Linked DNA regions of Xenopus tropicalis. Each later gene encodes a partner of the first gene's protein in a complex. Links are inferred from orthologs where the notes say so. Each region holds a gene or a part of one and is shown in the gene's direction. Other genes may lie near its edges.

Region 1 (5,520 bases):
GACTGTAGGAGCAGTGACAGAATTGTGTCACTGTATGCTGCCTGTGTGTGCGCCATACAGCATAGGGCAAGCAGAGTATGGCACACACAGGCAGCATAGGGCAGCAGAGTATGGCACACACAGGCAGCATAGGGTAGGCAGAGTATGGCACACACACACAGGCAGGGTAGGGCAGGCAGAGTATGGCACACACAGGCCAAGTATGGCACAAACCAGCCAAGAATGGCACACACAGTCAAAGTATAGAACACGCAGGCTGGGTAGGGAAGGCAGAATATGGCACACACAGGCAGGGTAGGGAAGGCAGAGTATGGCACACACAGGCAGGGTAGGGAAGGCAGAGTATGGCAGGTTTTTGCTGTACTACAACCATTAATATGGGTATGGTCATGTGATAACACGGGTGTGGTTTCAAGTGGGTGCGGTTTCAAAAAGGGGAGTGGTCAAAACTGGCTTCCATTATCGGCCCTCCACCACGTAGGTCGGAAAAATTCCGGCCCTCGGTAGCACCGAAGTTGGACAGCACTGTTCTATCACATAAACACACTGCTTGCTGCGATTCTGTAATTCCAAGACTGTAGTGTAAGTCAAGTTTATTTTGCTCAACTAATTTGGAATTATTTCTTAGGGTGATAGCTCCCCTTTAAGGTGGCCATACACATTCAGATTTTAGTCTTCCTCTAACGAACGTTCGGATATCGATTGTTTAAATGCGACAATCTAAAACTAAGATTTAAATTATAGGACAAAATCCTAAAATAATAAATTAAAGGATGTTTTGAAAGTAAAAGACAGCAATCGTACGAAAGTGACATCCTAGAAATGCATTCCAAGCAGGGCTGGAACTAGGGGTAGGCAGAAGAGGCACCTGCCTAGGGCGCAATGGTGGCCCCAATGGGGGCGCCAGTTAGCTTCCTCTTCTTTTACCTACCTCTAGTTCCGAACCCTGTTTCCCCACTGCAGCAGCCCTGGCAACCCCACCACCCAGTGTGCAGGCATGTCTTCTCACTTGCGCATGCAAGAGGGGAGGGGAGGGGCAAGCCGACCAGGTTGCCTAGGGCGCCTGGTTGGCTTGTCCCAGTACTGCCCCCAAGGATGTTTTGTATAATTATGTTGGTGCGTATATGTATGTATAACTTTCATTTTTTTTTTTTTTTTTATATATGGTGTAAATGTCTATATGTCTTGATGTTTTTTCCCACACAGCTTTATAAATTATATAAATACATTTTATTTTATAAACATATTTACTGATTTAACCACACGCACACTTTTACACAGTACAAACACGTGCATTTAACCACACACATACATTTTAACACACACGCACACACATACATTTTAGCTCCATTATGCTTGGGTGTATTATATTGAGATACTCATGGGATGGGGGTGCAGTTAAACTCTAAACATAATCTGTTATTGCTGTGAAGGAACAACGGGGACACACTTTAATTCTTCCACTTGTTATCTTATAGTATGTACCAGTGAAAGGAGACCATGTTATTGGAATTGTAACTACAAAATCAGGAGACATATTTAAGGTGGACGTTGGAGGCAGTGAGCAAGCATCATTGTCCTATCTGGCATTTGAAGGTGCAACAAAGAAAAACAGACCAAATGTTAAGGTAAAATGGTTTTCTGAATTTTAGAAATTTATCAATGTAGAACTCTGAGTTAGAAAGAAGTGTCCCATCCACATGCTATCATCATGGTTGTAAAGAGTTAAGGGATAGTTTACCTTTAAATTAAGGTTTAATATGTTGTACACAGTCTTCTAAGTCAGCCATTTTGTGTATTTAAATTGATTGTTATTGTAGCTGTTTGGTTGCTAGGACTTAATTGTCCCAGCAACCAAGCAGCAGTTTGAAAGTCAAAATGAAAAATGAATAGGAAAGATAAGCAATAAAAAAAATAACCATAGGAATTGAACTGCCTCAAGAAACATGGCTTAAGAACTATCAAAACGTCTGTAAAGGGAGCTACAATGTAGCAATAATGCAAAGCTCACTTAAACTATTCCACAGGACCTATTATGTGCCTGATAGACTTTGTCGAATCTACCCTACATCCTCGCCACCTTGCTTCAGGAACTGTACTTCACGAGGCACCATGTGGCACATCTGGTGGACCTGCCCAGTGGTCCAAGAACTGCGGACATTCTTACTAAACTGTTTCACACAAACATTACCCCATGTCCAAAGGTAATGCTTCTAGGACACAAACCACAAAACCTCAATAACCCAGCACAACGCCTTACACAGCACGTATGCATGGCAACAAAGATCCATATCGCAGCCCAATGGAAATCAAACTTATTATATGTTGAAAAGGTCCTGGAAAAAATTTTATATATACACACAAATGAGACTCTCAAATACCAACTGGAAAATGAAACAGAGTTATACCTGCAGATATGGGACACTTGGATACTAAATTAAGACTATGGGTAGCGTCCCTACCCCCAACCTGAGAAAAAATAATAGACAACTGTGGGAAAACGTAAACCAATAACAATGAATATCTCATACCAACACTGAAACACTGAGCGCAAAAAGTTATGTTGATTTCTGTTCTTTCTCTTTCCTTTTTTTTTTATGTTTCTTCCCTTCTCTCCCCTTATCCCCCCCCCCCTTTTTTTTCCCTCTCCCCCTCATATTGCCCTATTATGCACGTAAATATGCAGTTGAATGTAGAAGACTCTCTAAGTCTGATAATGCATCTAGCAAACAATATGCTATGTCTACAAAATATGTTAAAACTAAGAAAAATAAAAGTATACAAAAAAAAAAAAATAACCATAATTAGCCTCAAAGCCATTCTGTTTTTGAATGGATCAATTATTAGATATCATATTTGGATTCAGGCCAGAAAGAAGCAGAATAGAAAAGCTAGAAATGCTAAAACCATGAACAAAAATACAAAAAAATTGGAAAACAAGGAGAACTATACCCCCGGGCTATAAAAGCCCCCTTAACTATCACTGCCTTGACCCCCCTCACCTCTCCCTTACTGCATAGTTTCTAACTTTTAAAAATGTCCCTATCGCTAATCCTAAGCTAAAAGAGCAGAGTAGTGCAGCTGCGTACCTGGCTGACATCTTCCCTGTGAGTGAACAGTCTTCGGGTCTCTCCACCTTGCTTGTGCATACCCAGGGGGTATAGTTCTCCTTTAAAGGGGAACTTCCACATTGAGCTGATAGCCTTAGGGTTATGACCAACCATGGCATTACCTTGCCTTTTGTTTTACCGTTCCCTGGCGTAACCCACAAAAACACATGTATGGCTTGCTTCTTATTGTCATCCGTTTAGAGGATAGGTGTGATTTGTTTGAGAATTTGAAAAACAAAAAAAACGAAATAATTTGTAACTCTTTTAAACAGTTTTCAAATTACAATTACACAGAATCTCCAATGCCTTTAGGTAGTTAAGCAACAGTTGAAGCCCTGAAGACTGTATATCCCTTATGTATATCTTTTACATATGTTGATGAGACAGGTGACTGGACAGTTTGAGTAGGAGATATGTAAAGTGAGTGAAAGTGGAGTAGATGAACAAACTACATAAAATTTCCAGCTCCAGTTAATTTACATTTTTTTCAAAGCAAATCACACAGTAAAAACTGAAAGGTCCAATTAAAGACATTAAACAAACCCAGCATTTTTTTTCCTTCATTCCTAACTGAATTTTTCTTTGTTACAGGTTGGGGATCTTGTGTATGGGCAGTTTATTGTTGCTAATAAAGACATGGAGCCAGAGATGGCTTGCATAGACAGCTCCGGAAAAGCAAACGGGAAGGGTGTCATTGGACAAGATGGACTCATGTTAAAAGTCTCTTTGGGTTTAGTAAGAAAGTAAGCGACATCTTTATTTTCCCTTACGTAGTAAGCGCAAGCTAAAATGCTTGTGGGTATAAACAACTGTAACCTATAATAATTAGTTGAGTCATCTAGAAGGATCTGCTAGTATGTCAGATAGCAAAATCATATTTCATATTTCCTTCTGACGAACTACGGATATTGATTGTTCGTTTAAATGCGACTATCTAAAATTAACTAAGATTGAAACTGTAGGTAAGTCCTTAAAGTAATAAATCAAAGGATGTTCTGAAAGTAAAAGACAGCAATCGTACTAAAATTACATCCCAGAAATGCATTGTAGGTCTCCCAAGGATATTGTCAGATCATACGAAACATAGTTTTGTTGGTGCGTTTATGGCCAGCATTAAGTCAGCAGCTTATTGTTCCTATGTAAGGGGCCCTTAGGCACAAAGCAGGTTTGAGAATCATACTGGCACGTTGATGTGGCTCTCTCCTGACTGCCTCCCTGTAAGCGCAAGCTAAAATACTTGTGGGTATAAACTACTGTAACCTATAATGCTGAGCAGTTGACTCATCTAGAATAATCGGCTAGTATGTCAGATAGCAAAATCATATTTCATATTTCCTTTTTGTAATAATTGTCTCCTCCTGTGAGTAAACATACAAGGATTCAGAAATAACTTTATACATCTCTCAAAGAAGAAGTTAACCTTTTTTTTCTATCTTTAAAATTACTCTAAACAACCCCCAGAATAATACACCTTAGTCCTTGCATTCAGTCTCAACTGGTTTCTGAATTCTAAATTGAAATTTCCAGCTCCTTTCCTCTACTTCCTGGTACAGAATGAAGCCTCGCCCCTCTTCCTGCTGAGCTCTCTTCAGCAAATATTAAAAACTTGTGATTATATATTTGTGATTCTTATAGTGCAGAATTTGCAGTGTTTAAAAGAATCTATAGTCAACTGATGCTGTATGTTTTAAACAAAATCCACGCTGGTGCATAATATTTACTAATCAGTAACAAAATTTAATGTTTTAGAATTGTAATAAATCACTGTATTGATGGATGCACATGCATCTTTATTGATTCAACTATGGTGTTGCAAACTTTTTGTACATTTTTAGAACAATTTATAGGTATTAGTAAGCATAGAACGCTGGTATGAAGTTTTCACCAGATATATATTTATATTTGGGTACATACACTTTCTGTTTGTGAAGCATATTTATACATGCCTTTTTCTGTGTTTTCAGTGAGTCAGACAGTCCCGAATGAGCATAGAATAAAGCTGCTGGTGCACCTTGGCTCCTGCTTCTCTGTGCATGCCCAGAAAACTCTCCTCTTCCACTCTCCTGTAGTCAAAGAGATAAGGAGAGCTCCACAGGAAGATGGGGAAGGGCTTTATGCTGTACCAGGAAGTAGAGGAAAGAAGCTGGAGATTTTAGCTTCGAATTCAGAAACTAGATCAGACTGAATGCAGGGATTAAAGCAGGGGTGGGCAAACTTTTTAGCTCAGGGGCCACATTAATTAACATACGGGCCGGACCGGGCCGGGACAGCGTTCAAAAAATCGAAACCATCAAAAATTATGGGGCCTCTCAGCTCCTCCCCAGCGACCCGCTGCTTCCTCCGTCCCGTCCTTCTGTTCCCCGGCTCCCCAGTGCATTCTTTTATATGGTTGCGCCCCATGCGTGCTGAC
Region 2 (6,663 bases), on another chromosome or scaffold:
TGGAGCTATCCCCCCCCTTCTCCATGCTGGGATAGGCCACCCCTACACACCACTTGCCCGACTCGCTGCCCTCCACATCCCAGTAATGGCGCCCCGACGAGAAGCCCGTGGTGCTTACAACCTGATTGTGCTCAAATCTCTCGGGGCTTTGGGGATGATCCTGGTCACCTCTGCAGTCGGTGGCAAATTTCCGGTTCTCTGATAAAGCCACGGCAGGACCGGCAGTGTTTATATCCATTTCCAGGTCCTTCACCCTCTGCCCAAATTTCCACATTCGCTTTGCCCCCTTCACAATATCATTCAGTCCCGTGTGTAGCGTTTGGCTGATCAAATCTTGGTCCAGATCCCTCACTCTAGGCATGGGTCTATACCTCATCACCCTACCATCATAGTCATCCTCCTCCTCCCCATCCCCATCGGACTCCCTCGACTGTAGGACAGATAACGGATCTGCCATGTTGCACAGCTCCTCAATCTGATGGATTTTCTCGGAAAGCTGCTCCTTCTGTGCTTCCAGCTCCTGGATCATATCAGAGAATGGAAGCGAAAGCAGCTCTTCTTGCCTGGAGATCTCCTCCAGCATCTGCATCTCTAGGCTTTCCAACCATTCCCGGATGGTTCTAAACAGGGCAGAGACGTGCTCGCTCTCTGCAGCCGCTCTCTTTTGGACCTTGTCTCTGCTGTCCTTCAGCTTCAGCAGACTCTTCTCTGTCACCTCTTTGGCAGGGATCAGATATTCCAGAACCTTTTTAAGTTTCTTTTTCTCCTTCTCGGAGGCCTCACTCAGCTGCTCCACGTTGTGCCCTCGGTGCGCCCCCACCAGGCAGCAGGAGGCACAGATAGAGGCGCCATCCTCTCGGCAGTGGTACTCCAGCAGCCGGTTGTGCACGGCGCATTTGCGCTTGGCCAGGGAGGCGGTGGGTTCCACTAGGACGTGTTCCTCTGCGCTGCTGTGTAGTTGCACGTGACTGTCGCACAGGGAAGCCTCACACCGCACGCAGTACTTGGCAGCGGGCACCGAAGCATCGCAGTAGGTACAGTAAATGTCAGTCTTGTTTTGCTTTGGCTGCTCAGAACGAAAATGTTCCGCAATGTTCCGCAGCCGTGAGTTCTTTTTGAGTTCCGGTCGTGTCCGGAATCTCTCTCTGCATTCGGGGCAGGAAGGCTGCTCCTCTATCCCTTCCTGCCAGTCCCAGGTTTTGCCAATGCAGCTCAGGCAGAAGTTATGGCCGCAGGGCAGAGTTACGGGCTCGGTGTAAATGTTCAGGCACACGGTGCACGTTACCTCGACTCTCACATCAGCAGCCGCCGCCATCGTGGAACAAGGAGAAAGAATGGAAAGTTCCTCCGAGTCACAAAGAATCGAAACTCGTTTTACTGGATCCCTCAGGCACCAAGGCAGGAGGCGTGGCCAGAGGCACGGAAAGGAGCTGAGCGCTCAGCACACAGTTTATTAACCCCTTCTTCCCACTCAACTTGTAGCCACTGCACCTTTCACAAGCTCTAAACATCTGCAATGTAGGACTCTAAAGCCAATGACTCTAAAGTAGCCCAAACAGATGGAGCCCAGAACTGTTCCTATTAAAGCAATAATGTCATGGGAAAACATGTTTTTTCAAAACCCATCAGTTAATAGAGCGTCTCCCGCTGAATCCTGCATTGTAATCTGTTTTTCCCATGGGGCTAGCCATATTCTTCATTTCCCAGGGTGCCACAGCCATGTGACCTGAGCCCTAATAAACTTCAGTTTCACTTTACTGCTGCGCTGCAAGTTGGAGTGATATCCCCCCCCCTCACCCCCAGCAGCCGATCAGCAGAACAATGGGAAGGGAGCAAGATAGCAGCTCCCAGTAGGTATCAGAATAGCACTCAATAGTAAGAAATCCAAGTCCGGCTTGGGACTCCTCCAGTTACATGGGAGTAGGAGAAACAATAGGTTAGCTGAAAGCAGTTCTAATGGGTAGCGCTGGCTGAAAGCTCAGACTCAGGCACACTTTACTGCTGCGCTGCAAGTTGGAGTGATATCCCCCCCTCCCCCCCAGCAGCCGATCAGCAGAACAATGGGAAGGGAGCAAGATAGCAGCTCCCAGTAGGTATCAGAATAACACTCAATAGTAAGAAATCCAAGTCCGGCTTGGGACTCCTCCAGTTACATGGGAGTAGGAGAAACAATAGGTTAGCTGGAAGCAGTTCTAATGTGTAGCGCTGGCTGAAAGCTCAGACTCAGGCACACTTTACTGCTGCGCTGCAAGTTGGAGTGATATCCCCCCCCCTCACCCCCAGCAGCCGATCAGCAGAACAATGGGAAGGGAGCAAGATAGCAGCTCCCAGTAGGTATCAGAATAGCACTCAATAGTAAGAAATCCAAGTCCGGCTTGGGACTCCCCCAGTTACATGGGAGTAGGGGAAACAATAGGTTAGCTGAAAGCAGTTCTAATGTGTAGCGCTGGCTGAAAGCTCAGACTCAGGCACAAGGCACTGAGATGGCGCCTACACGCCAATATTACAGCTACAAATACATTTGTTGGTTGAAGAATAAAAGGTTAAATGGCAGAGGGAATTATTTGCTGTGTAACAGTGTCAGTACTATGAATCTACAGTGAAAGGGAAAATGTAAATGCTCAGTGGAATGTTCCTTTCCTGGTTACTATGGGGAAAACCCATAGGTGAGTAGGCTGCACAGTGACAGGGGAACATAATATATATATATATACAGTTTCTGCTCAGTAACATGGGAAAATAACAGTGTGAAATAGGAAACATGGCTCAGAGCCCAACTGGGCCGCACAATAGCGCCATAGGGACCAGCAATAGGAATTAGCGCCACTTGTAACGAACTGAGGTAAAAGCGCAATTCTACTACACGAAGTAACTATCACTTTGGCACCGCCCCTTTATGTGACGTGGAGGCGGGCACCCAGACACTTCCGGAAAGAGGAACGGAAAGTGGCGGCGCGGTGGTTTCTGGGAGTTGTAGTTTATACCGTGAGAACGTGGTGCGGGATGGCGGGGCTGGAGCTGCTGTCGGACCAGGGCTACCGGGTGGATGGCAGGAAAGCCGGGGAGCTGCGCAAGATACGGGCCAGGATGGGAGTGTTCGCTCAGGCCGATGGCTCCGCTTATATCGAGCAGGGGAACACCAAGGCCCTGGCTGTGGTATATGGGCCCCATGAGGTGAGTGCTGGGGCCACACGGACGGGCTGAATGGCTCAGAGGCATTACTATAGGGGAGAGACCGCTGGGTTACTTGGGTGGGTAAGTGGGTGGCACAGTATGGGGGTGGGTAAGTGGGTGGCACAGTATGGGGGTGGGTAAGGGGTTGGCACAGTATGGGGGTGGGTAAGGGGTTGGCACAGTATGGGGGTGGGTGGGTATGGGGGTGGGTAAGTGGGTGGCACAGTATGGGGGTGGGTAAGTGGGTGGCACAGTATGGGGGTGGGTAAGTGGGTGGCACAGTATGGGGGTGGGTAAGGGGTTGGCACAGTATGGGGGTGGGTAAGGGGTTGGCACAGTATGGGGGTGGGTAAGGGGTTGGCACAGTATGGGGGTGGGTAAGGGGTTGGCACAGTATGGGGGTGGGTAAGTGGGTGGCACAGTATGGGGGTGGGTAAGGGGTTGGCACAGTATGGGGGTGGGTAAGGGGGTGGCACAGTATGGGGGTGGGTAAGGGGTTGGCACAGTATGGGGGTGGGTAAGGGGTTGGCACAGTATGGGGGTGGGTAAGGGGTTGGCACAGTATGGGGGTGGGTAAGTGGGTGGCACAGTATGGGGGTGGGTAAGGGGTTGGCACAGTATGGGGGTGGGTAAGTGGGTGGCACAGTGGGGGTGGGTAAGGGGTTGGCACAGTATGGGGGTGGGTGGGTAAGGGGTTGGCACAGTATGGGGGTGGGTAAGGGGTTGGTACAGTATGGGGTGGGTAGGGGTTGGTACAGTATGGGGGTGGGTAAGGGGTTGGCACAGTATGGGGGTGGGTAAGGGGTTGGCACAGTATGGGGGTGGGTAAGGGGTAGGCACAGTATGGGGGTGGGTAAGGGGTTGGCACAGTATGGGGGTGGGTAAGGGGTAGGCAAAGTATGGGGGTGGGTAAGGGGTAGGCAAAGTATGGGGGTGGGTAAGGGGTAGGCAAAGTATGGGGGTGGGTAAGGGGTTGGCACAGTATGGGGGGTGGGTAAGGGGGTGGCACAGTATGGGGGTGGGTGGGTATGGGGGTGGGTAAGGGGGTGGCACAGTATGGGGGTGGGTAAGGGGTTGGCACAGTATGGGGTGGGTAAGGGGTTGGCACAGTATGGGGGTGGGTAAGGGGTTGGCACAGTATGGGGGTGGGTAAGGGGTAGGCAAAGTATGGGGGTGGGTAAGGGGTTGGCACAGTATGGGGGTGGGTAAGGGGTAGGCAAAGTATGGGGGTGGGTAAGGGGTAGGCAAGTATGGGGGTGGGTAAGGGGTTGGCAAGTATGGGGGGGGTGTAAGGGGGTGGCACAGTAGTAGGGGGTGGGATAATGGGGGGGGTTGGCACAGTATGGGGGTGGGTAAGGGGTGGCACAGTATGGGGGTGGGTAAGGGGTTGGCACAGTATGGGGGTGGGTAAGGGGTTGGCACAGTATGGGGGTGGGTGGGTAAGGGGTTGGCACAGTATGGGGGTGGGTAAGTGGTTGCTGCTGGGATACTTACCCTGCCTACACACGGCTGCCTGTGCCCACTGCTAGTCCCGCCCCCATACCCCAGTTCCATGTGTAACGGTGCCCGTAACGCTGTGCCCACAGATCCGCGGCTCTCGCAGTAAAATGCTCCACGACCGCTCAGTGGTGAACTGCCAGTACAGTATGGCGACCTTCAGCACCGGCGAGAGGAAGCGCCGCCCCCACGGGGACCGCAAGTCCAGCGAGATGACCCTGCACCTAAAGCAGACGTTCGAGGCCGCCATCCTCACCCAGTTGTACCCGCGCTCACAGATAGATATCTACGTGCAGGTGAGTGGGAGGGGCATCAGCCAGTGGGTGGGGCATCGGCAAGTTGTAACAATAGTGCGGGGCTTAAATAGGGGCTGTTTCACTTTAAATTGACCTTAAAGGGGAGGTTCACCTTTGAGTTAAACTGTTAGTATGAGAGTGATATTCTGAGGCAATTTGCAATTGGTCTTCATTTTTATATTTGTAGTTTTTTAGTTGTTTCACTTGTTCAGCAGCTATCTGGTTGCTAGGATCCAAATTACCTTATCGACCAGGGAGTGGTTTGAATGAGAGACTGGTATATGAATAGGGGAGGGGCCGAATAGAAAGATAAGGAATAAAAAGTAACAATAACTATAAAACTGGAGCCTCACAGAGCAATAGGGTTTGGCTGCCGGGGTCAGTGACCCCCATTTGAAAGCTGCAAAGAGTCAGAAGAAGAAGGGAAATAGATAAAAAACTATAAAAAATATAAATAATGAAGACCAATTGAAAAGTTGCTTAGAATTGGCCATTCTATAACGTACTAAAAGTTAACTTAAAGGTGAACCCCCCAAATCCTTTAGTCAGTGGTCCCCAATCTGTGGCCCTTGGGCTGTACTAAAATTCCCAGCATCCCCCTGGCCACCAAGAGTAGTTCCTGGGAGTCACTATGTGGGGATATCTCAGTGGTGCATGTATGTGGTATCTTGGTGCTGCCATACTGGCTCCCGTGTTGTGCTGCGCTGGATATGATCACATGACTCTCCCTGCCCAGATCCTGCAAGCAGACGGGGGCAACTACTGCACATGTGTGAATGCCGCCACCCTGGCCGTGATCGACGCCGGCATTCCCATGCGCGACTACGTGTGCGCCAGCTCGGCGGGCTTCATCGAGGACACGCCCCTCGCGGATCTCAGCTACGTGGAAGAAGCCGCCGGAGGGCCCCAACTCGCCCTGGCCCTCCTCCCCAAGTCGGATCAGATTGCGCTGCTGGAGATGAACTCGCGGCTGCACGAGGATCACCTGGAGCGGGTGATGGATGCCGCGAGCAAGGCGTGCAAGGATGTGTACGCTGTCCTGGATCAGGTGGTGCGGGAGCACTTACAGGAGCTCACTACCCTGCTGGGGGACCGCACAGCAGCTTGAATCTGATTGGCTCGGCTAGTTTGGGCTTCCTGCCCAGGCAACTCACTCGAATGACGATCTACTTTCTCTCAGGACTGCGTAATAAACAGGAGGGGGTGGGGCCTGACTTGTATCTTGAATTACAGGTAATGGGGTGGGTTTACCTTTAAGTTAACTATTAGTATGTTATAGATTGGCCAATTCTGAGCAACTTTTCAATTGGTCTTTATTATTTATTTTTGCTTCTGACTCTTTGCATCTTTCAAATGGGGGTCACTGACCCCGGCAGCCAAACCCTATTGCTCTGTGAGGCTCCAGTTTTATTGTTATTGTTACTTTTTATTCCTTATCTTTCTATTCAGCCCCTCCCCTATTCATATACCAGTCTCCCATTGAAACAACTCCCTGGTTGCTAAGGTAAGTTGCACCATAGCAACCAGATAGCTGCTGAAACTGGAGAGCTGCTGAACAATAAGTGAAAGTATTCAAAAACCACAAATAATAAAAAATGAAGACCAATTGCAAATAGTCTCAGAATATCTCTCTCTACATCGTACTAAAAGTTAACTCAGGTGACCGACTCCTTTTCATATTTTGGATATTAAAATG

Evidence for each region. Proteins that work in one complex are often made in the same cells at the same time.
Region 2: exosc3 (region 1) and exosc4 share a complex: the UniProt entries of both Homo sapiens proteins name them as parts of the RNA exosome core complex. The link is inferred for Xenopus tropicalis from reciprocal best matches to the Homo sapiens genes EXOSC3 and EXOSC4.

The regions. Positions count from the first base shown.
Region 1 is NC_030677.2:113,702,848-113,708,367, reverse strand, and holds part of exosc3 (exosome complex component RRP40), read left to right. Parts: intron 1-1,478; coding exon 1,479-1,628; intron 1,629-3,701; coding exon 3,702-3,853; intron 3,854-5,520. UniProt on the Homo sapiens protein: Non-catalytic component of the RNA exosome complex which has 3'->5' exoribonuclease activity and participates in a multitude of cellular RNA processing and degradation events.
Region 2 is NC_030682.2:151,308,128-151,314,790, reverse strand, and holds the start of exosc4 (exosome complex component RRP41), read left to right. Parts: upstream 1-2,999; 5' UTR 3,000-3,003; coding exon 3,004-3,174; intron 3,175-4,760; coding exon 4,761-4,967; intron 4,968-5,703; coding exon 5,704-6,075; 3' UTR 6,076-6,663. Other genes in the region: E3 ubiquitin-protein ligase TRIM7, read right to left, coding at 1-1,315. UniProt on the Homo sapiens protein: Non-catalytic component of the RNA exosome complex which has 3'->5' exoribonuclease activity and participates in a multitude of cellular RNA processing and degradation events.